Linked DNA regions of Mytilus edulis. The protein of the gene in region 3 purifies or fractionates together with the protein of the main gene of each other region. This does not show direct contact. Links are inferred from orthologs where the notes say so. Each region holds a gene or a part of one and is shown on either strand. Other genes may lie near its edges. The genes, in order: ribonuclease P protein subunit p29-like, ribonuclease P protein subunit p30-like and ribonuclease P protein subunit p40-like.

The links.
Region 1: the proteins of ribonuclease P protein subunit p40-like (region 3) and ribonuclease P protein subunit p29-like purify together in Homo sapiens (affinity purification with mass spectrometry; 3 studies listed by BioGRID and IntAct, counting the BioPlex papers as one, with this or other methods). This does not show direct contact. The link is inferred for Mytilus edulis from reciprocal best matches to the Homo sapiens genes RPP40 and POP4.
Region 2: the proteins of ribonuclease P protein subunit p40-like (region 3) and ribonuclease P protein subunit p30-like purify together in Homo sapiens (affinity purification with mass spectrometry; 3 studies listed by BioGRID and IntAct, counting the BioPlex papers as one, with this or other methods). This does not show direct contact. The link is inferred for Mytilus edulis from reciprocal best matches to the Homo sapiens genes RPP40 and RPP30.

Annotation. Positions count from the first base shown.
Region 1 is NC_092348.1:15,791,784-15,799,552, reverse strand, and holds the start of ribonuclease P protein subunit p29-like, read left to right. Parts: upstream 1-4,185; 5' UTR 4,186-4,289; intron 4,290-6,157; exon of another isoform or gene 6,158-6,223; intron 6,224-7,769. UniProt on the Homo sapiens protein: Component of ribonuclease P, a ribonucleoprotein complex that generates mature tRNA molecules by cleaving their 5'-ends.
Region 2 is NC_092344.1:62,972,723-62,980,875, reverse strand, and holds the start of ribonuclease P protein subunit p30-like, read right to left. Parts: upstream 3,633-8,153; 5' UTR 3,592-3,632; coding exon 3,513-3,591; intron 2,602-3,512; coding exon 2,519-2,601; intron 1,899-2,518; coding exon 1,839-1,898; intron 971-1,838; coding exon 896-970; intron 1-895. Other genes in the region: cilia- and flagella-associated protein 100-like, read left to right, coding at 7,138-7,198, 7,831-7,911. UniProt on the Homo sapiens protein: Component of ribonuclease P, a ribonucleoprotein complex that generates mature tRNA molecules by cleaving their 5'-ends. Also a component of the MRP ribonuclease complex, which cleaves pre-rRNA sequences.
Region 3 is NC_092348.1:201,877-210,701, reverse strand, and holds the start of ribonuclease P protein subunit p40-like, read left to right. Parts: upstream 1-5,346; 5' UTR 5,347-5,356; coding exon 5,357-5,476; intron 5,477-6,266; exon of another isoform or gene 6,267-6,317; coding exon of another isoform or gene 6,318-6,335; intron 6,336-8,825. Other genes in the region: pyruvate dehydrogenase phosphatase regulatory subunit, mitochondrial-like, read right to left, coding at 2,073-2,203, 2,547-2,788. UniProt on the Homo sapiens protein: Component of ribonuclease P, a ribonucleoprotein complex that generates mature tRNA molecules by cleaving their 5'-ends. Also a component of the MRP ribonuclease complex, which cleaves pre-rRNA sequences.

The DNA.
Region 1 (7,769 bases), about 16 Mb from region 3:
CACTTAGTGATGATATTTTAGATTTTAATTTGTATTGTGTTTATATGCCGTGTCAAAATTATTCCATGGATTTATTTGAAAGTACTTTGGACGAACTAGGTGAAATTATGACAAAGTATAGTAACTCAACAACTATAATATTAGGTGACATGAATGCCAGTGTGAATAGGTCAAAGGGTTATCGCCAAGATAAAGCTTTAAAGTCATTTCTGAACGAGAAACATCTGTCCGTGCCATAGGACTACCCAGAAGAGCATACATATTACCACCACGGTGGGAAACAATCTTCCCAGATTGATTATATAGTCATATCCTCAACTCAAATAGATAAAATCTCAGATATAAAAGTCATGATAGATGAACCGCTTAACACTTCATCTCATAGGTCAGTGCAGGCAACCTTGTCATGTTTCTTTTCAACAAGAACTACTAAGTCTGGAAAATCGATTTCAACACTGAAGAAAGTGAACTGGAAAAAACTTGACAATGAAAAATATGAAAAATTACTTCATCAGAGACTTAGTTATATGTTTATTGACAATAGTATTTTCTCATTTATCGAAATGAGCTGTGAAGAACTTTTTAATATTTTAACTACAACCGCCTTTGAATGTGCACCAACAATTTCTGTTGGAAAAAGGAAACGTTCATGGAACTCTATGCTGCAACAACTCTGTAAACAAAGCAAGGATGCACATTGGAAATGGAAATCTCTTGGGAGTCCGTCTGACATAAACGACCCTGCAAACAGAAAACGTCTCGATATGAAAAGAGAACTTAGAAAACTCCAAAGACAATTGAATGCAGAAGAGCGACATTCTCTCTATCAGAACATTATGGATGCTCATTCTGGTGACAATGCCACATTTTATAAAATTATTCGCCGTCAGAGGCAGAGTGGAAAACGCTTACTCGACTGTCTGATCATTGATGATGTTCATTTTGATACACCTGATCTTATTCGTGAGGCATGGACAAATTATTTCACTGATTTATCTACTCCGTCTGAAAAACCGCAGAATCAACAGTACCGCTCTCAAGTTGAGCTAGACCGTATTTTGCTTCAAGACATATTGGAACATGAAGATGAAAAAACTATTGAATTTGATATTGGAACAATTCAAAAATGTATTTCTAAAATGAAAACCGGGAAAGCTACTGACCAATTTGGAATTTCTGCTGAACATTTTAAATATGGAGGTGAAAAAACAGCCAAAATACTTACAAACTTGATAAATGAAGCATTTAAATTTAAGCGTGTACCACAGTGTTTCAAAGAAGGTATTGTTTCACCGTTGTTCAAAGGTCATGGAAAACCTATCTGCCTACCAAAATCTTATCGACGTATAACAGTTTCTCCTGTAATGGGAAAATTGATGGAATCGGTACATCTTTGTTTAGAGGAACCTAAACTACTAAAGGTACAGAGCAGACTTCAACGTGGCTTTACTGCCGGGGTCAATCCTACTTTTGCAGCACTTCCCCTGACTGAGGCAATCATAGAAGCAAAAGAATTAGGACAAACATTATTTACTACTTTTGTTGATGCGTCATCCGCCTTCGATGTTGTTTGGCATGCCTCTCTGTTAAAAAGTATATTTAAAAGTGGAATATCTGGACAAAGTTGGCAAATCTTAAATGACTGGTACACGAATATGAGCTCTGCAGTTCGATGGGAAGGCAAGTTATCTACTTCGTTTGCTGAACTCCAAGGCGTCCGTCAAGGCAGCGTATGGTCTCCCTCTGTATACAAACTTTTCGTTAATCCGCTAATAAAAAAGTTAGAAAGTGAAAGTTTGGGTTTTAAAATTGGTAATGTGTTTGTGGGTACTCCAATGTGTGCAGACGATCTGCTACTTATCTCTTCAAAACCTGATGAACTCCAGACTATGATTAGTTATACTTCCCATTTTGCAGAGACAGAAGAATATAATATAAGTAAGGAAAAAACTAAAGTTATGATATGGAACTCATCTTTGAATTGCAACCTTTGGAATCAAATGGAAAAGTTTCACATTGGCTCAGAAACATTAGAAACTGTAGAAAATTATAAACATATTGGTATTGATAGAGACTCCCGTGAAGTAGAGGCAACAAGAACAATTATTGGAAATCGTTTAAAAACTGCAAGACAGACTTCATACGCACTTATGGGCTCAGGACTACATGGTTTAAATGGACTTAATCCAGAGGTGTCATGTAAACTTTGGTCAACATATGTGGTTCCACGTTTGTTATTTGGACTTGAAATTGTAAATCTTAGTGCTAAAGATATTTCCCGCTTAGATATCTTTTGTAATAACTTTTTGAAACAAATTCAAAATTTACCTGCTAGAGCCTCCAACGCTGGAGCTTATCTACTTTTAGGTCAATTACCTATTATTGCACTTCTACACAAAAAGATTCTGATAACGTTTGGTACCATTGCCAGAAGTGACTCTGTCGAAAATGATCTTGCTAAGCGTCAACTGTCTACAAAAGGAAAAAACTCTAAAAGCTGGTTTATTAGGGCTGACAAGATTTTGAAACAATATAACTTGCCGTGTGCCTCAGAAGTTTTACTTAAACCAGAGACAAAATACAAGTGGAAAATGAAAGTAAAAAAGTGTGTTGATAACTTTTGGTCCGAAAAACTGTTTACTGAAGCCAAATCAAAACCGTCATTACGGTACTTAAATATCAAAAACTGTAAAATTGGTGTTGTTAATTCTATATGGAAAAGTGCTGGTTCAGAACAAATGTGTATACGTAAAGCCTGTTATAAGATCAAAATGCTATTGGATACATATATTCTACAGTACCACCGTTCAAAATTTTCAAATGGTCAAAAAACTTCAATTTGTCCGCTATGTGAGGAAGGAACTGAGCATTTAGAACATTTTCTTGTCGTATGCTCTGCCTTAACAAGTATTAGAGACATTTTTATCTCAAAGCTTTATACAGTTATTGTACCAAAGATTGGAACCGTTGCATGGACTGACATTTGCGTTAGTAACTCGAAAATGATACAATTAATCTTGGACTGTAGTCGTTTCGAGTGGTATCATGTGTTAGAGAAAAATGACATAAATTTGGTGGAATCAATCACTAGAAGCCTGTGTTACTCGCTCCATGAAAAGCGTAGTGTGCTCCTTGAAAGTAAATAAACATTTAAAAGTTGTAAGGTTTACCAAACTCATAGGCTGTAAATAGATAAAATTGTTTAAAGATAAATGTATAGTGACTGGAAACAGATGTAAATATAAGGCAACAAAATTTTACTGGATGAACTCCAGGTTCTCCTGATAGAGGAGGGATTTACAGAAGGTAACAGGTAACATTCCCCATATCTCCACGTTCCCCAAGACAAAATTCCTGCATCCGCCCCTGCCCTGACTATACTAGTTATGTATGTCATTGGGGAGTTTAAGCGTATATAAACTCATTAACAGAATCAAATTCGAACCAATTCTTCTAACGACAATGAGGACTTTCGTTGTTTTTTGATATGTGGTGATTCCAATAAAAAAAATCGCCCATATTAAGACTGAAAATGCCGTCCAAACTCTAAGGTATATTTAGAAAGAGCAGTCCATAAAATGTGACATTTTTTTTGGATTAACTTGGAAATCTACCTATGGAAAGGGTAAATATTATGCTTTCAGATAAACACTGTTTGTAGACTTTTTGATTTCTTTTCTCTTTTTAATACTGATCAATACTTTCATTGAGAAGGGAACGGTTATCTGACACGGTTATATTCCCTGACAATTCGCTCGGATGTAACAATCATCGATAGTTTAGAATTTGATGTTTGGCTTATCTAACTATATTGAAAAATATATCAAAATTATAAAATAATTTGAATTTTGACTAAACATTTCTTACTTTGACGTAGACAACTTGACCAACTTCAAGCAGATTTAAATTAACAGGATTTAACCCTTATTACATGTGGCGAGTTGGTTAACCAGTTTGGTGCGAGTTGGTGCGGGGCGATTTTTTCAAAGTGGGGCGAGTTGGTGTGTAGGATTCCATTAGTTAAATAAATCTTTAGAACACTAAGTTCTCTTCTGCTAAGCATATACATGAATATATGATTAAACAAATGGACTGGAGGTCAGTATCTTGCATAATATAGTTTATTAAGATATTTCACATATTTTTCTTTTATTTAATTTTGTCCACATCTATTTTTCTTCATTATTAGGTATTTAGATTCACCTTAATATTGATCCTAGTTTGGAGTGTCATTCCCCATATCTCCACGTTCCCCAAGACAACATTGTTCAATATTTTTGATACATTGTGTAAGTATTCTTGGGTTTCATATGTCTTTTAAGTGATCTTAAAATTTAGAAAGAAAGTTATGATTAGTCTCTGTTGTAATTGTATAGTATGTCCATTATCTTGTAGAAGTCACAGGAGTTTGAAATCCTAATAACAGTTTAAAATATACCGAACTCGACTATCACAGTAGAGCTTCTCTGGAACCAACTCCTGTGTAGAAGTAGAAGATCTGGAATCTAATTCCCAATTCCCATAATTGACCCTGTAATTAAATATTCCTATTTAGTTTTCTTCCTTATGAGGGACATTTTAATTTTTATCATGTTTATTTACTAGCAGACTATATTAATAGCATGCCCTAGATAAATAGAATTCAAATGCATTGTATGATTTAGAAAATTCATAACTTAACTGGATTTTGCTGTACACTTTTTTTCGTCCCTGCAAAATTAACAAACAGTTGAGTTTACCTTGATATGGTCCATTCAGGTACACAGTTTAAATAACCAATTATTGTCAGGTATCTATTGTCCATCTCATGTCCATGTCAAGCAATACAGCTCACTTCAATTATTACCTGTGGGGAAGTTCTCAAACCTGTTTCCCAACTTAGTTTATTTTGGCACCCTCTGGAGGAATGAAAAAAAGTGCACGGCAAAATCCTGGTAAGTTTTTATTTTTCTAAAACATAAAACATATTTGAAATTTATTTATCTAGGGCATGCTATGCCTGAAATTTTTTACAGATGCGCAGGTTTGTCTGTACTCAGAGTAAATTTTGAGGTGAAAATACGGCCATTTTAGCCATAGGGTCCACATGAACCTTTAGAGCAAATTTCATAAGAGCAAAATTAATTTGTTGTTAAGCTAAATCATGAACATGTGTAAATGCTTTTGACATCAGAATTTTTTTTCATGAAAAATTAGGGGAAGGTCTAAAACGCGGAAGTGAAAAATGGGTGTATTATAACTAATATCTGTGGAACCGCTTAAGCTAAATCAATAAATAGAACTGATTCTGAAAGCTATTATAATAGGCTATAAGATAACATTAAACAAATATTTATTAAAATATGCATTTTTACCGAAAAGTTGACCGGAAGTCTTTCTTAGTGTGACTCTGGCAACACATTTTTGAACATAGTTTGTTCAGTAGTTACTTTTAAAATCACAATTCCCTAATGTGGTGGTGCTGATTGTCAATTATGAGAATTTAATTTGCCGAATAATTTATGCAATATAGCTTTATAGTTTTCCAACCACTTGCTAAACATTGGAACGGAATCGATGACACCCCTAAATGCACGAGTGACGTTCACTGAAACCAAAGTTTTTGAAGGAAATGCATCAAACTCAAAAGTTATCTATTGCTTTTGTGCAAATCAAAGGAAATTAATTATTTGGTAGCAGCAATAGACTATAGTATTGCCAATAGTATTATATATGATACAAGACAAAAGTTGCTGAAATGTCCAACAAACTTTAACATACTCTCCGGAGCACCTGAGATCACCCCTAGTTTTTGGTGGGGTTCGTGTTGTTTATTCTTTAGTTTTCTATGTTGTGTCGTGTGTACTATTGTTTTTCTGTTTGTCTTTTTTATTTTTAGCCATGGCGTTGTCAGTTTGTTTTAGATTTATGAGTTTGACTGTCCCTTTGGTATCTTTCGTCCCTCTTTTAACTTTATTCAAATAATTAACATTGTACAACAAGACAACAGAATAAAATAAAATCAAGGGGAAAGACCCATGCCAGAGTAAACAAATATTCAGGCTAACATGTACATGTAGTTGGATGAATAGATCTGGATTCTCTTAACTTGTAAGACTTGTAAGGAAATTTATTTTCACAGCTTGCCTCCTTGACTTAAATGTATTTTTATGAGTGACAGTTTTTTTTATATTTGGAAGTGGATTGCCAAATCAGATCATGATCATTCTTCTGTAAACTACAGGTGACTTTGTAATACAATATACATGTACATTTTGTAAAATTACAAGCCATTCAAAAATGACAGAAATCATTGGATGTCTCTTATTAAAGATTATTGGCCTTAAAGTCATAAGAAACGAGTGACCGGTGAAAAAAAATGTTCTTCCATCAGAGCTCAGACATAAACAAGTCCATTTTTGTTTTTGACTTAAAGAAGTCAAAACATGTATTTATTATAATACAATGTATGTGTTTTCAATTTTAGACTTATTTAAGTCAGAAAAAGACAGACTTGTTTACATGTAGGTCTATTTATGTTGATGAAAAAACTTAATTTTACTTGGTGGCCAAAGTACTCCACCTATGACAGCAAAAACCTGTCTGAGAGTTCACAAGGACTTGAGCTATCTATATTTAATTATTTAATTGAACATCCTTACTAAGCACAGATGTTTTACCTTATTTAGTGTGGTTCCAGGTGGTTGTTTTGTAAGGTTAATTAACATTATCTCCAATTTTTTAGACTCTCATTCATATTTTTCTATAGAAGACAAAGCATTGTCCTTCAATGTTGTCATTATTTGATTTAGATGCATGATTTTTTTATAAATATGCATGGGTCTTGAAGTTAACCAATTTTGATAACTTATCGACTTGTAGGAGTCGACATTTGCAACTTTTTGATTCTGGTCAATTATTTCTTGCTTAACAGTATTTGACTTATTTAAGTCGTATTTTGTCTAGCATTAAAGGGAGACAAATCCTAAAACATACAAATTTAGACCTCTATGAGTCAAAAGCAGATTCAGACTTATTTATGTCTGAGCTCTGACTGTCCAATTCTTGAACCAATGCATACAAACATCATTAAGTTAGTCTTCTGTGCACGAATTTATCATTTTTTTCGTGTAAGTTTCGTATAATTGTCAATTTTTTTTTCAATCGGTCAGTGTTTTTGTGAAAATATGGCAAGTAACTAAAGTTCGTGTTTTGAAGCTGAAATTTAACGATGGTCACCTCAGTGAGTGAGTGTTTGTCAACAATCGACAAAAATCTACAAAATTGAGCACGTGTTTAACATGTAAATTCAGATAATAGTTTATTTTAAGGACATCCATTCGTATTGTGATCACTGGATTTTTACGAGATGGGTCACACTGAGGTCACTTTGCATACGGAAAATATGTCGGGGAATTGCTTCCTGGAAGGAAGCAATTAAAATAAAGTAAACTTCTTCTAAATATGAATAAATTAAAGAATTTTCTTCAGAAAAAAGTATATGTACATAAGTTTAATAATGAAAACTATCCATTGAGTTATAAAAAAACATATGCATTTTTTTTTTGATTTGAGGTTTCTTATGACTTTAACTATAAATTTGTGTTTGCATCAAGTGCATAAAAACTATGAAGGGTGATCAAATGTTACCAGGTTAGGGAATCAAGCTCTTATTTAGGTCTTTAGGAGGTTCTACTTTTTAAAACCTGTATGTTGCTGATGTCTAAATCATGACAATGTACATGTATTTCAACTAGTCGTATGTACATGTATATAGAACTGATAATACT
Region 2 (8,153 bases), on a different chromosome or scaffold from region 3:
TTACGAGTAACGATACATGTACACAATAAATAAATTATATAAACGCCTAAAAAAGTGTACTCCAAATACAAAAAAAAGGTAACTATAAATGTAATTATTTAGAAATATTTCAGATAACAGATATCCTTCGTCAGTCAGATTCTGATGTTAAATGAATCATCTTTAAGTCTTCTTAAATTAAACTTTTACTAAATCTTGAAATTTATACAATAAAAAAAGTCAAACCGAACATCAGTTAAGACGCTTGCATCATTCTAAAAATTTGTTAAACATGACATAGGTTATATGGCTTATTACAACAGAGAGCTCACATATATGCTTTAAATACAAATTATAATGTGTGATTTGAACCAGCACAATTCTAAAACTTTAACGGGAATGACAATTATGATGGTATAACATGTATAAGCATGATAATGTCTGTAAAATTACCAAAAAGACAGCACTGAAGGATCTAAATTTTAAAATATTTGAAATTGACAGAGTAAAGTAGCTACAAAATGTACAACAGAGTCTGAATATTTAAACATCGCGAACAAACGGCCGTTAAAATGTAATAATAGTTTTTGACTAAGCCACGTACTTATACATCCCTCAAAAAATTAAGCAATTTAAATTGGTATCTTCAACAAATTTATTTAATAAATGAAAAAGGTTAAGAAAAAGAAACAGAGACTGTAATAATAAGTAATATAACCCAAATGTGAAGCACTACACGGAGTCGAACTACACCTTTTAATTTATCCCATTTGGTGCCAAAGTTATTAATTTTCTGATCCAAAATCTTTCCAGAGCAAGTCTATCCTCCTTAGACCAAGCAGAGTTGTGGTCAATGATTTTAATGGTCAGTCGATTGAGATCTATATATATATACTATTGAATTAATTAAACTTACTAATTTTTGTAGCTGTGCAACATCTTCCATTATGGTACTAAATCTTGATAACTGTCTGAATTTTTTTGTTCCTGCCTGAAAAGCAATGTTTATATTATCATAATTTCCAATTCTGGACTTTAGTGTCATCCTGTTTGTAACTTTCTTGAGCCGACTTTTTTTATAGTGTAAAAACATACAGTCTAGATAGATATTTATAAGAGGTTGGTGTATTCTTAAAATGATTTCAATTTGAATCCACCTAATTTCGGAAATGATGCTTGTAAGGCCAAATAAAAATATATGTGTTGTTCCAGTAACCCTACCGTCCCTACTTTTTCGGCTTAAAAATAGCCTACCCTAAAGATTTTATTGTCATTTTTCATTAAGCACTGTTAAAGTCAGAATGTTAGGCTACCTGGAATATGCATTGATCAAAGTTTTTTTTTTTTTTTTGTATATCTGTTGTCTTGTAGTGGTTAGGATTTGGTGGTTGATGTGATCTGTTATATTATTTATTGGTGATTTATATTCCACTTTTAATGTATTCATTTCATTCTTAAGGACATATTCTTCTGAGGTTTGAGTCTCCTTGAAATCTCGTTCAGGAACTATTTCCTAAACATGTGATACTTGTAGAGGAAAATATCAATGAATTTTAAAAATATTATAATCAAACATAACTCTGTGAAAAAATTGTGTATTTATAATGAATGGTTTTTGTGTAATTCAGTTCTCAAATTTTACGATTAATCAAGTCTGACAGTCTTTCTAGCCAAAATTTTGAGAAAATGGGTGAGGGGTACAAAAAATGATTTTACAAGAATCATGTACATCCCATATCATTTTTGTCTTTTCAAATTTCTTAGACACATACTTGAGTGTAAGGAAATCTTAAATAATTCCAGAGCAGCAGGCAACCAAAAATGAGATGTCTTCACAGAATTTCAACTAAATATCTCACCATGATATTCTTTAAAGTTTCTGCATCAACTTTCAAAGTTTCTGGTAATGGAATTGCATGCTACACAAAGGAAAAAAGAAAAATAAAGTGTAATATAAAATAATTATAGAATAGATGTTGCTTCTGACAGTGTGCTATGGGAAACATTCATATGATATGCATCTGTTTCTGAACAATGCATAAACATTACAAAATAGATGACTGTTATAATTGCCAGTTAGAATTGGTGTGTTTCTTATCCTTGTTTTGAGTTTCATCCAATTTTGGGTGTTTTTGTTTGCCCTTACGTTGCCGTCTCATTGACGTAAAAGCTTCTTCTTCTTTTAAACATATAAATGCTTTAAGCATATGGTAAGAATCAAGAATGTGTTCCTAGCAATCAAGTTCTTTAAAATCTTAAGATAGATTATTCATATTTTTCAACATATAGCAAACATTAAAAAATTGAGATACACTAATTATCACATATATATTTACATTGATTGTAGGTTGCTTTACGCTGTATTAGCACAACAAGGCTATGTCGCAGCGAGACATATTTACATGTAAATGATGCAAAAAAGAATCATTTCTCAAATCCATCATTTTCTAACAAGAATCTATATATTTTATACATATACAATTGTTACTGTCTACACATGTGTGTATACATATCTATACAAATTTATTACAGTACTTACATAATCTTTGTCTTTTTTTTTTTTCTTTACAATACTGTCTATACTTGGTGCACAATGATTTACAGCAGCAACACTATAGCCCACTGTTAAAATGTTCAAATAGACACATTGCCATATTATTATATTTCAAAGATTCAGAAGTTAACAATAATATATTTGTTAAAAAATTAAGAGCTGCCATATTTCATATGCTGGTCCTTGGTCAATGTTATAAAAGATAAATGATGAGGTCAAAAATCTTGCAAATGAAAGATGCTGGGTAGCTGTCTTATTGTCATTTTTTCATTTATGCTTTTGTCATGTTTGTTCTGATGGATCAATATATATTCCTCTTTGACAGGTAACCCATGCCTGGTATATTAGCTAACATAGTTTAACATTGTACAATTTTTAGGCCAATATCACTTATCAAAGGTAAACCATTTTTGAGAATATGGGACAACATCATTACCTTTTGCTAAGACTGTAAAATATAATAAAATAAGGAGGAGGGGGGGGGGGGGGGGGGTCTGTTATTCTGTAAACATTTAATTTTCACCCCTTTTTTTCTCTAATCTTTAAAAAAAAATAACCCCTTTTTTCTCAAATCTTCAAAAAATTAGACCATGCATTTCTCTATTCTTCATTTTTTTGCCCGTTACTCTCTAATCTTCATTTTTAAGGGCATTATTCTTTAATCATTCAACCCCATCCAAACCCTCATATATATATGTATCAGTCTTATCTCATACAAAGCATGCAAAGTAAAAATACACTGACCTCTTATTTTTTATTCAAAACATTGAAAGACACAGAAATTAAGAAAAGGGAATAATGGGTCGAAACGACTAAGGCCGAAGTGGTGTATGGCCAAAACGTCTCGAAAACATAATTTATTTGGACTAGGTCGGGACAACTGAACTGGAGTAATGTTGCTATGATTTCATAAACACACAAGTTTTGCCAGAGAAGAATCTTATTTCTTATTTTGATTTAACAAGGATATGATATTTACATTTTGCTGCCATAGCAAGTGTTTTGGCTAAATGTTGCTTCTCGCTAATCTGCACGTTGAAATCCATGAAGTTAGCCATTCCGGAAGTCACTATTGCTTATTTCCCCTTCTCATACAAATTTACTTCCGGAGTTAGTAACCACGGAAATTGTAAACAGTGGGTGCCTGAATTTACATTAATTGGTAACTTTAGCTCTTTATGATAACACAAATGTCCCATGAATAATTCTTTTGAATGACTAATTTGAATACTCATAAAAATTTGAAATCATGCAAGTAGTTTCTGCTTTTTTCAAGCTAAAATTTGAAATTGGTTTACCCTGAACTGAAGCAGAGACATAATATGAGGCAGGCATTACCTGTGAATGGGGACGAAGTCTGTATGATTTTTTTTTTGTAACTTTTTAAAATATTTGTGAAAAAAAGAAACGGAAATACCGTAACGTTTCCGATTTTGGTTCTGTTGTTAGGGATTTTACTTGTGACGTTATTTAAGTTATGACGTCATGTTCAATGTAAACAAAATAACGCAATGCATACAGTAACGTTTATTCATATCAAAGCCAAAGAATGATTAAAAATTAAATATTGGTATTGTGTTCCTTGATGAGTTCCTATATTTTACTAGACTAATCAAAGTCTCACGACAACAAGACCGGAAAAAGGAAGTAGATTTCTGCGTTCTGCGCAGATCCGGAAATTAAAAAACATGACAAAAAAAAATTGAACGAATTTGAGTTCATTAGTCATGTTAGTACAATAAAAAATTTCGGGAAAATTTTCCAGATTTTAAAAAAAAAAATTTTTTTTATTGATTTTTCTACTGTTATTGGGGCCCATATAATACAATTTATCAAGTATTATTTATTTAATATCCTTTTTAAAAAAATTTAAATTCAATATCAAATTATGTCTCTTTTTCGATAATATAAATAATACAAATCAAAATTAAATGACATTGAAATGAATAATTATGTATGAACTCAAATTATTTAATTTTAATTATGTTAAATTTAACATAGTCCGAGATTACTCTGACGTCCAACGACTGTTTTGCCAGACAAGCTGGGGCTGTAGGACAGATTGATGCCCGATTTATATAATTCTGAGGCCGTCAGTCGGCACCTAAAGCGACGAAGCAGTGCATCTATTTTGGGTGGGCAAATATCCACTTTTTGATATGGGACGGGCTCTGACGTCCCACGGCCCCAGCTTGTCTGGCAAAACTGCTGTTGGACGTCAGAGTAATCTCAGACTAAATTTAACACTGAAACAGTTAATTTATGCTTACACATTCGCCCTTACTTCAAGTACTTTTAATACTTTGATAATGACTCTATTACCCAAAGAGATCTCGCGAGGTTTAAATCTGGCAGTGTGATATTACGGGATTTTGCCGAGTTGCCAATCTCTTGTATTATACATGTATGTCTCTGCCTGAAGTAAGGATTTGTATACAAATCCTAACATTAGGTAATACATTAATGTCCTACATAGGTTTGTTTGGTACTTTCCTCATAGTAAACGCAGATATTACTTAAATAAAATTAATTTATTTATTAGCATAAACGATAGTTAAATACACTTTTGAAATTACTCAGATGATGATCAAGGATTTGTATAATGAAAATATCAGCATGAAAACGTTAAATAGTGAATATATAATGCGAAGGCATATACTATAGGACTAGGATTTGTATAGTAAGAAATCCTTGCTCAGATACTATGCGACAGGTACCAACTACAAATTTAAAGCCAGAAATATCAACAGTAAGAGGACACAATGAACGATTCCTAGTTCCTTTTGCCAGGACTCAAATATATTGTCACTCATTTTTCCCAGATACCATCAGAATCTGGAATGGACTGCCACAACACATAGTTAGCTGCACAACCCTTGAATCATTCAAAAGGGGTGTGCAAGTGTCCGTCCAGCTTCGATAGTCGATAGATGTACAACCTCGTTTTTATCGTTATTTTAAAGATAAGCACCGTTTTCACTGTAAATAATCCGCACTTACTCGCACATTTGTTGTTCCCAAATCAAAAACATGTACATAAAACAGTACGATAATACTCCAATGGAAGGCCTGTACTATAAAGGAAGAAGAAGGTATTCTATGAAATGATCTCTTGAAGGTTACAAATTATATTTTTATGCCCCACCTACGATAGTAGAGGGGCATTATGTTTTCTGGTCTGTGCGTCCGTTCGTCCGTTCGTCCGTTCGTTCGTCCGTTCGTCCGTCTGTCCCGCTTCAGGTTAAAGTTTTTGGTCGAGGTAGTTTTTGATGAAGTTGAAGTCCAATCGACTTCAAACTTGGTACACATGTTCCCTATGATATGATCTTTCTAATTTTAATGCCAAATTAGAGATTTTACCCCAATTTCACGGTCCACTGAACATAGAAAATGATAGTGCGAGTGGGGCATTCGTGTACTGAGGACACATTCTTGTTATTTTCTAAAAGTAAAAAGACAACTTTTTAATTGAATTTCATGCATTTTCTGTAAATATCATATGTCACAATACACCTTTTTGCTTATTATGATTTGTATGTCATTACCATGATTACTGAACTTTACAAAGGTTTCTTTAAAATTTGAGGTCATAATAAAAACATTTGACGTTACAAGTAACAATGGAAAAGATATTGTTGAATGATGTGATTGTCAATAGTTCAAGGTGTGCAGATTCTAGGGTCAAGCAATGGTCACACAGATTTCCAAATAGGGATAAGGTCTATGCTTGTGCTGTTAAAGTCTCAGTAATAATGTTTTGTTCTGACACATCTTTCATGTTTTATTACCTGAATGTCATTGATGCATGGTTGTTTTACTTATCATGCTAATAACCAGGGCCTAAAATACAATATTGTTTGTTTCCCCAATCCTGACTGACCCTGAAAAATATTATTTTATTCATTTCCAATTTGAAGGATTGTGGGATCGACCGATATTGTTCCAGCTTTTTGGAAAAAGTTAAACGATTTCCCTACCTTCATGTACTTACCCACACCTGGCTTGGCAGGATTGGGATTGGGGAAACAAACAATATATTAATTTAGGCCCAGTCAAGGGTACTACTTGTACAAGTAATTTTTATTTACTTGAAGAAGTAAATATTAATATGCTTATAATGAATTTATAGGAAACTTATACAAGTGTATTTTATTTTAAAACTTGTATAGGTAAATAATTTTTTGGCTGAGCAACATGTACATGTATGTAGCTAAAACTGTGACTTACAGATCAATCACATATCGAGACACATTGTACACACATGTGATATAAATACTGCAGTTGTAAATAACAATTTCTAATAGATACATGTATGTGAATCAAATGGTCCATATTGTTCATTATTCCCAACTTTTTAGGAAACAGAGTTCATTCTTTGCTTTGATGCAATGAATCATGGGAAAACATTAAAAAAATCATAAGTCTGATATGTACAGATTTTAACAAAAATGAATGGATATTGTATTGTATTGTATAGAGCAGCTGCTAGGGTACAAAAAAATGTACAAACAAATCCCATTGGAAAACAGATTTCAAGGAGGTTTTAACATGGTAAAACTGATGACTTCATGTTTTATATGGTTATATTTTAGAATTAAAACAAAATGGCAGACTCTCCAACAGGTGCCCCTTCTCCTGACACAGATGCTTCAGGGAAAAAGTCAAGTAAGTAGTTATTTAGTTCAAAAGTTTAATCTGACTAAAAATATTCAATTTTTTTTTATTTCAAAAGTGACACTTTTAAAAATTCTTTCCTATATAAATTTTGATCATAAACATGGTAAAGACATAGGACTTTTTCGTAAACAAGATTCCTTAAACAAGTTATGATAGAATATAAATTTTGGAACAATAGAATTTAGCATATATTTGAGCTTTTCTAAAAATAATCTGAAACAGTTTTAAGAATGCTTAGAGTAACTTAGATTAATAGTAACGTTGCAATTTTGTCATTAAGAATAAGATACAAATTCATATTGATATTTAAAAAGTCATCTTCTAAATTAATAATTAATGATACATGTACATAAATTAATTTCATTTGACCTTTACCTATTTACAATAAAATAATGCAGATAAGCTTTCTATCCAGGTTTCCTTTGTCCACAGACCACTTTCAGTTGACACCTTATCTATCAATTGGAACTCAAGTGGATTATTAAGTTGTCTCATTGGCAATCATACACGAATACCATCTGCTTATTTTCATAATGTAGTGACGTATTTCGTGAAATGATTTAGTGCAATGAACATTTAGTTATTGTGTTGATATTAAAGTTATGAATATTTACTTGTAGGAGTGGATGGTTCAAGACAGTCAGGCAGAGTAACATTCCCAAATTCAGCAAAATCAGGATCAAACAAATCTGTTTTGTCAGGTACAAATGTTGATTTTTATGCCCCACCTACGATAGTAGAGGGGCATTATGTTTTCTGGTCTGTGCGTCCGTTCGTCCGTCCGTCTGTTCGTTCGTTCGTCCGTTCGTCCCGCTTCAGGTTAAAGTTTTTGGTCAAGGTAGTTTTTGATGAAGTTGAAGTCCAATCAACTTGAAACTTAGTATACATGTGCCCTATGATATGATCTTTCTAATTTAAATGCCAAATTAGAGTTTTGACCCCA
Region 3 (8,825 bases):
CGGGCCCGAATTAGTGGTGTTACACCTATAACAGAACCAAACTTGCTATATTGACTTGAGCATTACTTTTTTTCATTCTATGATCTATTTCAAGCAATAAAAAACATATAAAGATAAGTCCAAATACTATTTTTACTAATTTTAAGCTCAAATTTGACTGGTAGCTAGTAACATATGGGGTATTCAAAGAAAACTGCATATGGATATTACCAATGGCCAATATACTTTTTTTATTTTCAATATCATTGTTTTATTTATTCATTTCTAATAGGAAAACTATGTGCTTACCAATAGCCTATTTTTATCAGAGGTCCCTCATTAAATAAAAATACATTAGTCCAAACTTAAGACATAAATGAGAAAATTGTCCCCCCTTTTTTCTTTAAATTGGAAAAGGGCTTTTTTTGGAATAAACCATAATTCTGTGGTAAAATATAGATTATTTAGAGCAATTTATATATCCCTCAGCTAGATAACTTGCTAAACTGGTTCAAAATTGCATGTACAGTGAGATTTTAGAGCAGGCACACCTCTTTTGTTTTAAGTTCAAATAAATTGGCAATTATTGCATTTCAAAGCAACACTTTATGGTGTCTTGTACTGAAAAAATCAACATACCTTTAATGGCATATAAGAAAGAACTGGTTCGCGGAAATTAGGATGTACCAAAACAGGTACATCAGATCTGACAAACAGACAAAATGTACCCTCTTTTTAAAAATTAGTGCAGTCTTTTTATTATTCAAAAATAAAAGTCCAAAAGTGTTCTAAAATGCTCACCAGTCCTTAATCTTTCATTTGATACCAACAATACCTAAATATTCTACATATTTTGAAAGTTACACTCATGCGTAGAAACTATTTTGTGTTAAATATGTACTACTTTCTGGTATGTGCTTTCTGGCCGGGCCTGAATTAGTGGTGTTACACCAATATACAACTTTCGAGTTCGATGCATTTCCATCAAAAACTCTGGTTTTAGTGAACGTCATTTGTGCGCTTAGGGGCGTCGTCACTTCCATTCCAATGTTGAGCAAGTGGTTGGAAAACTATAATTCTATATTGTACGAATTATTCGGCAAACTGAATTCTCAAAATTGACAATCAGCACTGCTGTCATTAGGGAATTGCCATTTAGTACCTACAGAACAACCATTATTTCTAGTTTATCCTGCACAATGAAATTAACTAAGACGCCTGATGAACCTAAATAGTGCAGGGATACAGACGACCCCCTCTATCTGGTAAATGACATCATAAAGGCAGGCATAATTGACGTGTTTCTGCCGGTGATGGATGAACTCGAAAGTGGTCTACTAGATTGCATTATTGTCTCCTTTGACATGTTTGATATCATTAATATATTTATTCACCCTATAAATAAAATATTCTTATACCTAAACTATAATTCTTTGATTGAAAAAAATCATAACTTCAGTGTCAAAAAAATCAGTAAGCGTTTAATAAAATTATTTACTTATAGATATAAAATAATTATTGAAATTTCCACATCCAAACCACATTTTTAGACTTATGTTTATAATTTGACTTTTAGTTAAAAGTTTCTAATTTTCAATGACCTATGCAGATATAAAACTGACATCATTTTCTAACTTTTCTACTGACCTATTCAGATGAAATAATGACCAATGAGATGTTCAGACTTCCCATTGACCTATATAATACTGACCAATGCCATGTCCTACCTTTTCTAATGACCTGTACAGATATAATACTGACCAATGCCATGACCTGCCTTTTCTAATGACCTGTACAGATACAATAATGACCAATTCTATTTTTGGACTTCCCATTGACCTATATAATACTGACCAATGCCATGTCCTACCTTTTCTAATGACCAGTACAAATATAATAATGACCAATTCTATGTTTATACTTCCCAATGACCTATATAATACTCAGACCAAATGCCATGTCCTACCTTTTCTAATGACCTGTACAGGTATAATACTAACCAATGCCATGTCCTGCCTTTTCTACTGACCTATTCAGATGAAATAATTACCAATTCTATGTTTGGACTTGCCAATGACCTATGTTATACTAACCAATGCCATGTCCTGCCTTTTCTAATGACCTGTACAGTTCAGCACTGTACTTGACTAGTCTAGCTGAAGGAACATCATCTCTCAATTGACCAATTAAACCAACAGAATGCCATGTTGTTCCACATGTATATCTACAAAAGCAAGAGTTAAAAAAAGAAAACCTTTTCTACAAATTTTACCATGTTCATCACATTTTACATGATTTTGGCAGTTATCTTGGTTATGTTAAATTCAAGTAGTTGATTTGCAGACTTAATTGGTCTGATATTATTGCCTCCTCAAAGTTAAAGTTTTTTTTAAATATTACAGTAATATTTTAGCATTCACTTCCGGTGTAGGTTATTAAAGTCCCCTGAACTAGCAATATACAACATAATTTCACCCTCTCTCTGCTAGTTGGTAGCTAGCTATAGATGTCTCAGTTACACCCCTATTAATGTTACAATATCCCCTGACCCACTGTAGGCTACTTACTTCCCCTGCTCCAACAGTACAACATCATTCCAACCTCTCTCTGCTAGATGGTAAGCTATAGATGACCCAGTTACACCCCCACCACATATCACCACACGGGCATGCTTTGGCAAATCAACAACTGTCTTCAATGATTTTGATGCTTCGTTATTGTTTATACAACTTCTGTGGAAAGCTCTGTAGAAGGCATCACTTGTACAGCGTTTGTGTAAAGGAACTTTTAAATAGCGGATTAAAGACATACTTGTTGCTCAGTCTGTTCAAGTCATTTTTAACATCTTATAACAATCCAGTTTGTCATTAGTGATACTAGATATTACACTGACTATGTTAACAAAGCAACTTTATCTAATGCATATCCTGGGGTCTACCCATATCACCAGGGTCATCATCTAGGACGAAACTATTTAAGATCTAAAATGTAAATAAACAACGTTTATAATATATACCTGAGGTCAGAAAATGATAATGGATAAAACCTACATATAAGAGTCAATACTCCTGGCCTAGATTTAAAACTCATCGCAAATATTTTGATCTATTTCAGTTAATAAATTGTATTCATATCAAGATTGTCACCTCATCAGACCTTCCTTGACATTAGACAAAATGTTAGATGTTAAGATGTTTATTATGATAGAGATTAAGCCTCATAAGCTAAAATTCAGCTAAAATCTGGTTTTTATATTTTAGTTTCATCAATCTATATATGTCAAGGATATACGATTTTGTAGTTACTTTGACAAACAGACTGATTAAAATAATTCACTTCTTGTCAGAAATGTTTAAAAAAAATTACAGTTTAGAAAAAAAAAATTAAAACTCTTGAAGGGATTTATATTGCCATCATCCCTCTGTTGATAGTTAACTTTACACATTAAATTCAATAATGTTTATTGAACCATTTTATACAAGTACATTTATTAGAAATTAACAAAACTTGGCAGGTACATATATTCTTTTAAGTAAGCTGATTCTACCTTGTGTATGTGGATTGAACTACAGTTTTGATGAAGTTCACTACAAAAAGTGCCACTAAAAACCTCTAGGTATGCATCTTAGGACATAGAAATTTGTAGAAATTGAGAATACCTTCACACAAATATACTTTCTATTTGCCTGAGCAGTTGAAATGACTGAACTCAATAATATTATTGAAATAACAAAAGCAACCTGCATTATACAACGTTATAAGAGAATTTATAACATTGGTTGCAATGAATTACATTGATTTCCCAGTTAAATAAAAACCGATAATTTCACATGTGAAATAACAACTATTTCACTCTCTGACGTCATACAACAATTGGCGTTGTCAAGACATCAATAAGGGGGGTCAAAACAAACTGTGAATGCATAGGGAAAAGATATAAATGTAGTTGCTTACATGTTTTACATTAATTTCTTTAAAAAAAGCCATTTGCCAATGTAAGAAAAAGAATAACTAATTAAAGAATTCAAATATCTAAAAATATTCAACTTGTGACCCAACAACACTGATAATTAACTCATGGGCTGCGCAAATTCGGAAATTAATGTGAATATTAATGACATGGACATGATTTCCTATATATATATGTAACTGAATTTATTATAGGATTTTATAGCTAGGACATGATTTCCTAGGAAAATTAGTCTGGGGACATAGATTACAATCCCCGGACTAAATATATTTATACTAGTAAATTTTGTAACCATGTACTATTTTTTTGGGGACGAAGTCCCAAATTACGGTTGAAAAATCAATAATAAAAAAAAAAATTCAGGAAAATTTCCCCGAATTTTTCATTCTACTAATGAACTCAAAATCCTTAACTTTTTTTTTCAGATCTACTTCCTTTTCCGGTCTTGTTTGCATGAGACTTTGAATAAAATGTATATAAATTCAACATTCAATCATTTTTGATAATTGTTTGATAGGAAAAAAATGTTACCTGGATAACAGCGTTTCTTTGTTTACATTGAATATGACATCATAACTTAAATAACGTCACAACTAAATCCCTAGCAACAGAACCAATATCGGAAACGTTACGGTATTTCCGTTTCTTTTATCAACATGATTGAATTAAAAAAAAAATAATACAGACTTCGTCCCCATTCACAGGTAATGCCTGCCTCATATTACAGACTTCGTTCCCATTCACAGGTAATGCCTGCCTCATATTATACATATTACTAGTAATATTTTTTCAACCAGACATATTTTACCAGGAAACTTATCACTTAAATACAATTACCATGATTACAGTCATGACAGTTAATGTTTTCCTTTTGTTCTGTTGACAAAGTCTAACGTTTGATTTTGTACGTTTTCATGGACTTTCTCTTTTAGATTTTCAATGAAGTATAGTATTATTGTTTATATTTTCATACAGGTCAAATTGAAATCATTTCTTTACACACTCCCAGTGACTCTGTGTGACACTCAAAAAAATACAACCCTACACTTTCCTTTGTCTCAGAGACAAAGATGACAAAGTTGATTTTCAGAGCAAAACTCATGAATAAAACTATTATTGACTTACTGTTTAACACTGAACTATATATAATACAGAGAGGTTTAACTAATATTGCTGTCTGCTCTTTTTACAGTCTCATGGAGGCATAAATTAAGGCATGCGAATTCTGGGCTCAAAAAATATTTTCATATGTCTAAAGAACAAAAAAAACAACAAAACTTATTCTTAGATTTGAGAATATGTATAATTTTTAATTTCCTGTAAATTATTAGTAATTTTACATTGTTGATAAAAATATGAAAACTTATTTGTAAGCAATGTTCCGGTCTTTAGGTAATTCCGAAGAAAATGGCTGCGCCCATAGAGAAAAGTTTACCCATAGGAAAACTTGTTTTTGAAAAATCCAGCTTTAAAAATGAAAAGTCTAAACATGAGGAGTTTATAGAAGATCATCATTTCAATTATGCAGTATGTTGACTAACCAATAAACACACCAGCACATGTTCAATGTTAGCTGGTCAGATACAATGTAAAAAAAAAAGGGGGGAGGGGGATTTAAGATGGACAAAAATGCTGTTTTTACACCTCAGAGTACAGACTAACCTGTGTAGTTGGAAGAGTTTGAAGGCCTGGCATCCACCAGATTGAATCCTGGTTTGTTGGCCCTTATGTACAATCACCCTGGCACACATACATGTATTTGTCCGCCTAGTCTGAATAATTAGGCCTTTCAAGATGTATAATTATTTGGACTACTTTTCGCCCTAATACCTGTATGGCCAGGGTCCAATCTTCATGCCTGCCAAATGTCACTATTTGCAGGGGATTTCCAAAACAAAAGTTCCCAAATGAAAATTTTTGAAGAGCAATTGTTGAGGGGGGATAGGACCTTTATCAGGACTCTGGGATCGGGTGTTTTTAAGCTCTGGATTTCGGGGTCCGGGAATTCTTTTTTTCAAATTTCGGGATCCGGGATTTTACTTAATTTAAATTCGGGACCTCGGGATTTCGTGTTTTAAGCCCGGGATTTCAGGATCAGGACCCCTCCTACCCCCCCTCATTGTTTTCCACAATATAAAACGAGGCATTGGCTAGGACGGTTACAATACATGGGAATATTATTGTTACTTTGGAGACTAATTGCCGGAATGCAGGGTTGGGCATAGGCACTAGCCTTCTGTCAATAGTAATAAAATTTTGGCAATGGGAAGAAAATAGTGTCCATGGCACATGCACTAGACATGCTAAAGGTTTGTCTACGGTTACAAATTGTGTTATTGTTTCATTAAAGCACTGCAAAGAAGTATTCATGGGACTAGTAATACATGTATGTACACTTTTTCCATGGTCGGGTTGTTGTCTCTTTGGCACATTCCCCATTTCTCAATTTTACATTTGTATTAAAATCTGATATTTACAATATTTCATACAATTTTTTAAAATTTTTATTTACATTGAACTACAATTTTACGAAAGGGTTTTCTCATTGACGAAAGTATTTCAAATCAATTTCGCCACTTTAATTTTTAAAGTGTAAAAAAATTTCGCAATAAAAACTATAAATCTACCTGTCTTCATGTTTTCGACAAGTTTATGACCTCCAGGTAATTAACATTTTCAACAGGTGTTACAAGTTGTGATTACAACTAATCCGCTTATCTCCATCGGATGGGTCACTAATCCGTTAATTATTAATAAACCCCATAATTGAATGACCATCATAATTATTTCACCAGGAAGATCAGTCACTCGGCATTTCAACAACCAGGAGTATAGTTTCGTCATTTAATAAAAAAATATAACAACCCGGACAGTTCGCATTTGGATTTCAATATTTCTCAAACGATCACAATTTGAATGTCGTTTGTCGTAGATTTGTCATTCGAAAGCATTTTCGTCATATTTGATTTAAATTTTCATCAAAAACTTTCGGCAATTTCAATTTAGAATAAGGAACTTTAATGTGTTTATTCAAAACTTGCACGAGTTAAACAGGTGCTTCCTGTATTGTGATCTAGGCATGCGTGAAAGTATTCCTTTGACTATTTATATACATTAAAAACGTAAAATACGCAATCATTTAGAATCAATTAAATGAAAGAGACAAATATATATCTCTTACCAAAGGAATTTAAATCGAAAAATGTTAATTTTCTGATGAATCCGGACTCATTTTGAATTTATTATCCAGGTGTCACTTCCCGTTTTCGTTTCATTTTAAAACCGAAAGTAGTAAACGTGATCTATTGTTGATTTGTTTACAACCTCCTTTCAGTCATTATAATAGTTCCACAAAGGATTTTACACATTTCCAACTTGATAGAAATGATTTCCAAAAATCGATTTAGACCTTTTATAAGGATTTTGATTATGAAGTGAAATAATCAGTTCAAGTTAATTTCTGCTGTGATTCCTTGTTTAAAAAAAAAAGAATCCATCTTTTGTTGATCAGGAATGACCCCTGGAACAAACTGAAGAGAAATTGTGAACTAAATTTCTGGATTCCATTTCAGAATCTTTCATAATAATGACCAATACAGTCAACATGGTCAAATCATACAATAACTGCCAATCATGCTGGTGCCTCAATCCCTTAAAATCTGACAAAGTCAAAAGATGAAGCTAGTAATATACATCATTGGTCCCTTGCTTTTACACAAAATAAGGTTGATTTTAATAGAGTTCAAAAGTGACTAAAGCCCTCAAAATCCTAGCTTAAACCCTGCAAATCCAGTAAGTTGTTTTTGGAGCATATTTTAGTCCGATGCATTTTTAATGAAATCACTCTAAGCAGCCATGCAACACCAACCAGTGATGTGGCAACTTGCATGCTCTGTATTCCTTACCGTACACCAACCAGTGATGTGGCAACGTGCATGCTCTATTCTTTACCGTACACCAACCAGTGATGTGGCAATGTGCATGCTCTGTATTCCTTACCTTACACCAACCAGTGATGTGGCAATGTGTATGGTCTGTATTCCTTACCCTACACCAACCAGTGATGTGGCAACATGCATGCTCTATTCCTTACCCTACACCAACCAGTGATGTGGAAACGTGCATGCTCTGTATTCCTTACCCTACACCAACCAGTGATGTGGTAACGTGCATGCTCTGTATTCCTTACTGTACAATTCCATTCTGCACTATCTCATTTTGCCATGCTTCAGTCATGTCAGTTGGAAAATATATTTGTACTCTTGCGATATTTTTTTTATATGAAGCATGTGAGGTTTTTTATAAATACATTTCAATTGTGAAAGTAATTAATGTTGACATGGTTGACATTTGCCTACAGGTTGAAACTGGTGGAAACAGTGATTTTCATTTTCAAAGTCCAGATGCAAATGTATTTTGGGATTGTAATTTCGTTCTTGTTGGTGACAGTACATGCTCTATTGACACAAATGATTGAACAGTTCATGTATTCATAAATAGTGTACATGTTGTAGTAGTATCTTTAAGAACATCTAAATAATTGATACTATTTAAACATTATTCGTTTTATAATTATTACTAATACCATCTAGAAAGAATTAAGTATCTAAACTTCAGAAGGTTTAAGTTTAATAAATCTAGCATACATTGCAGTCTTGAATGTAACAATAATGCAATGTAACCGTAGACACAAATATTATTGTTACATTCATAAATAATCGATTCCTTACCCTACCTTGCATTCCGGCAATTAGTTTCCAATGTAACAATAATTTTTATATTATTGTTACATTTTCATGTAACCGTAGCTAGTGCCTTAAAACAAACCATTTAATTTTCCAATGGCTATAGGCTTTAAAAAGTATGAACAAGCCAA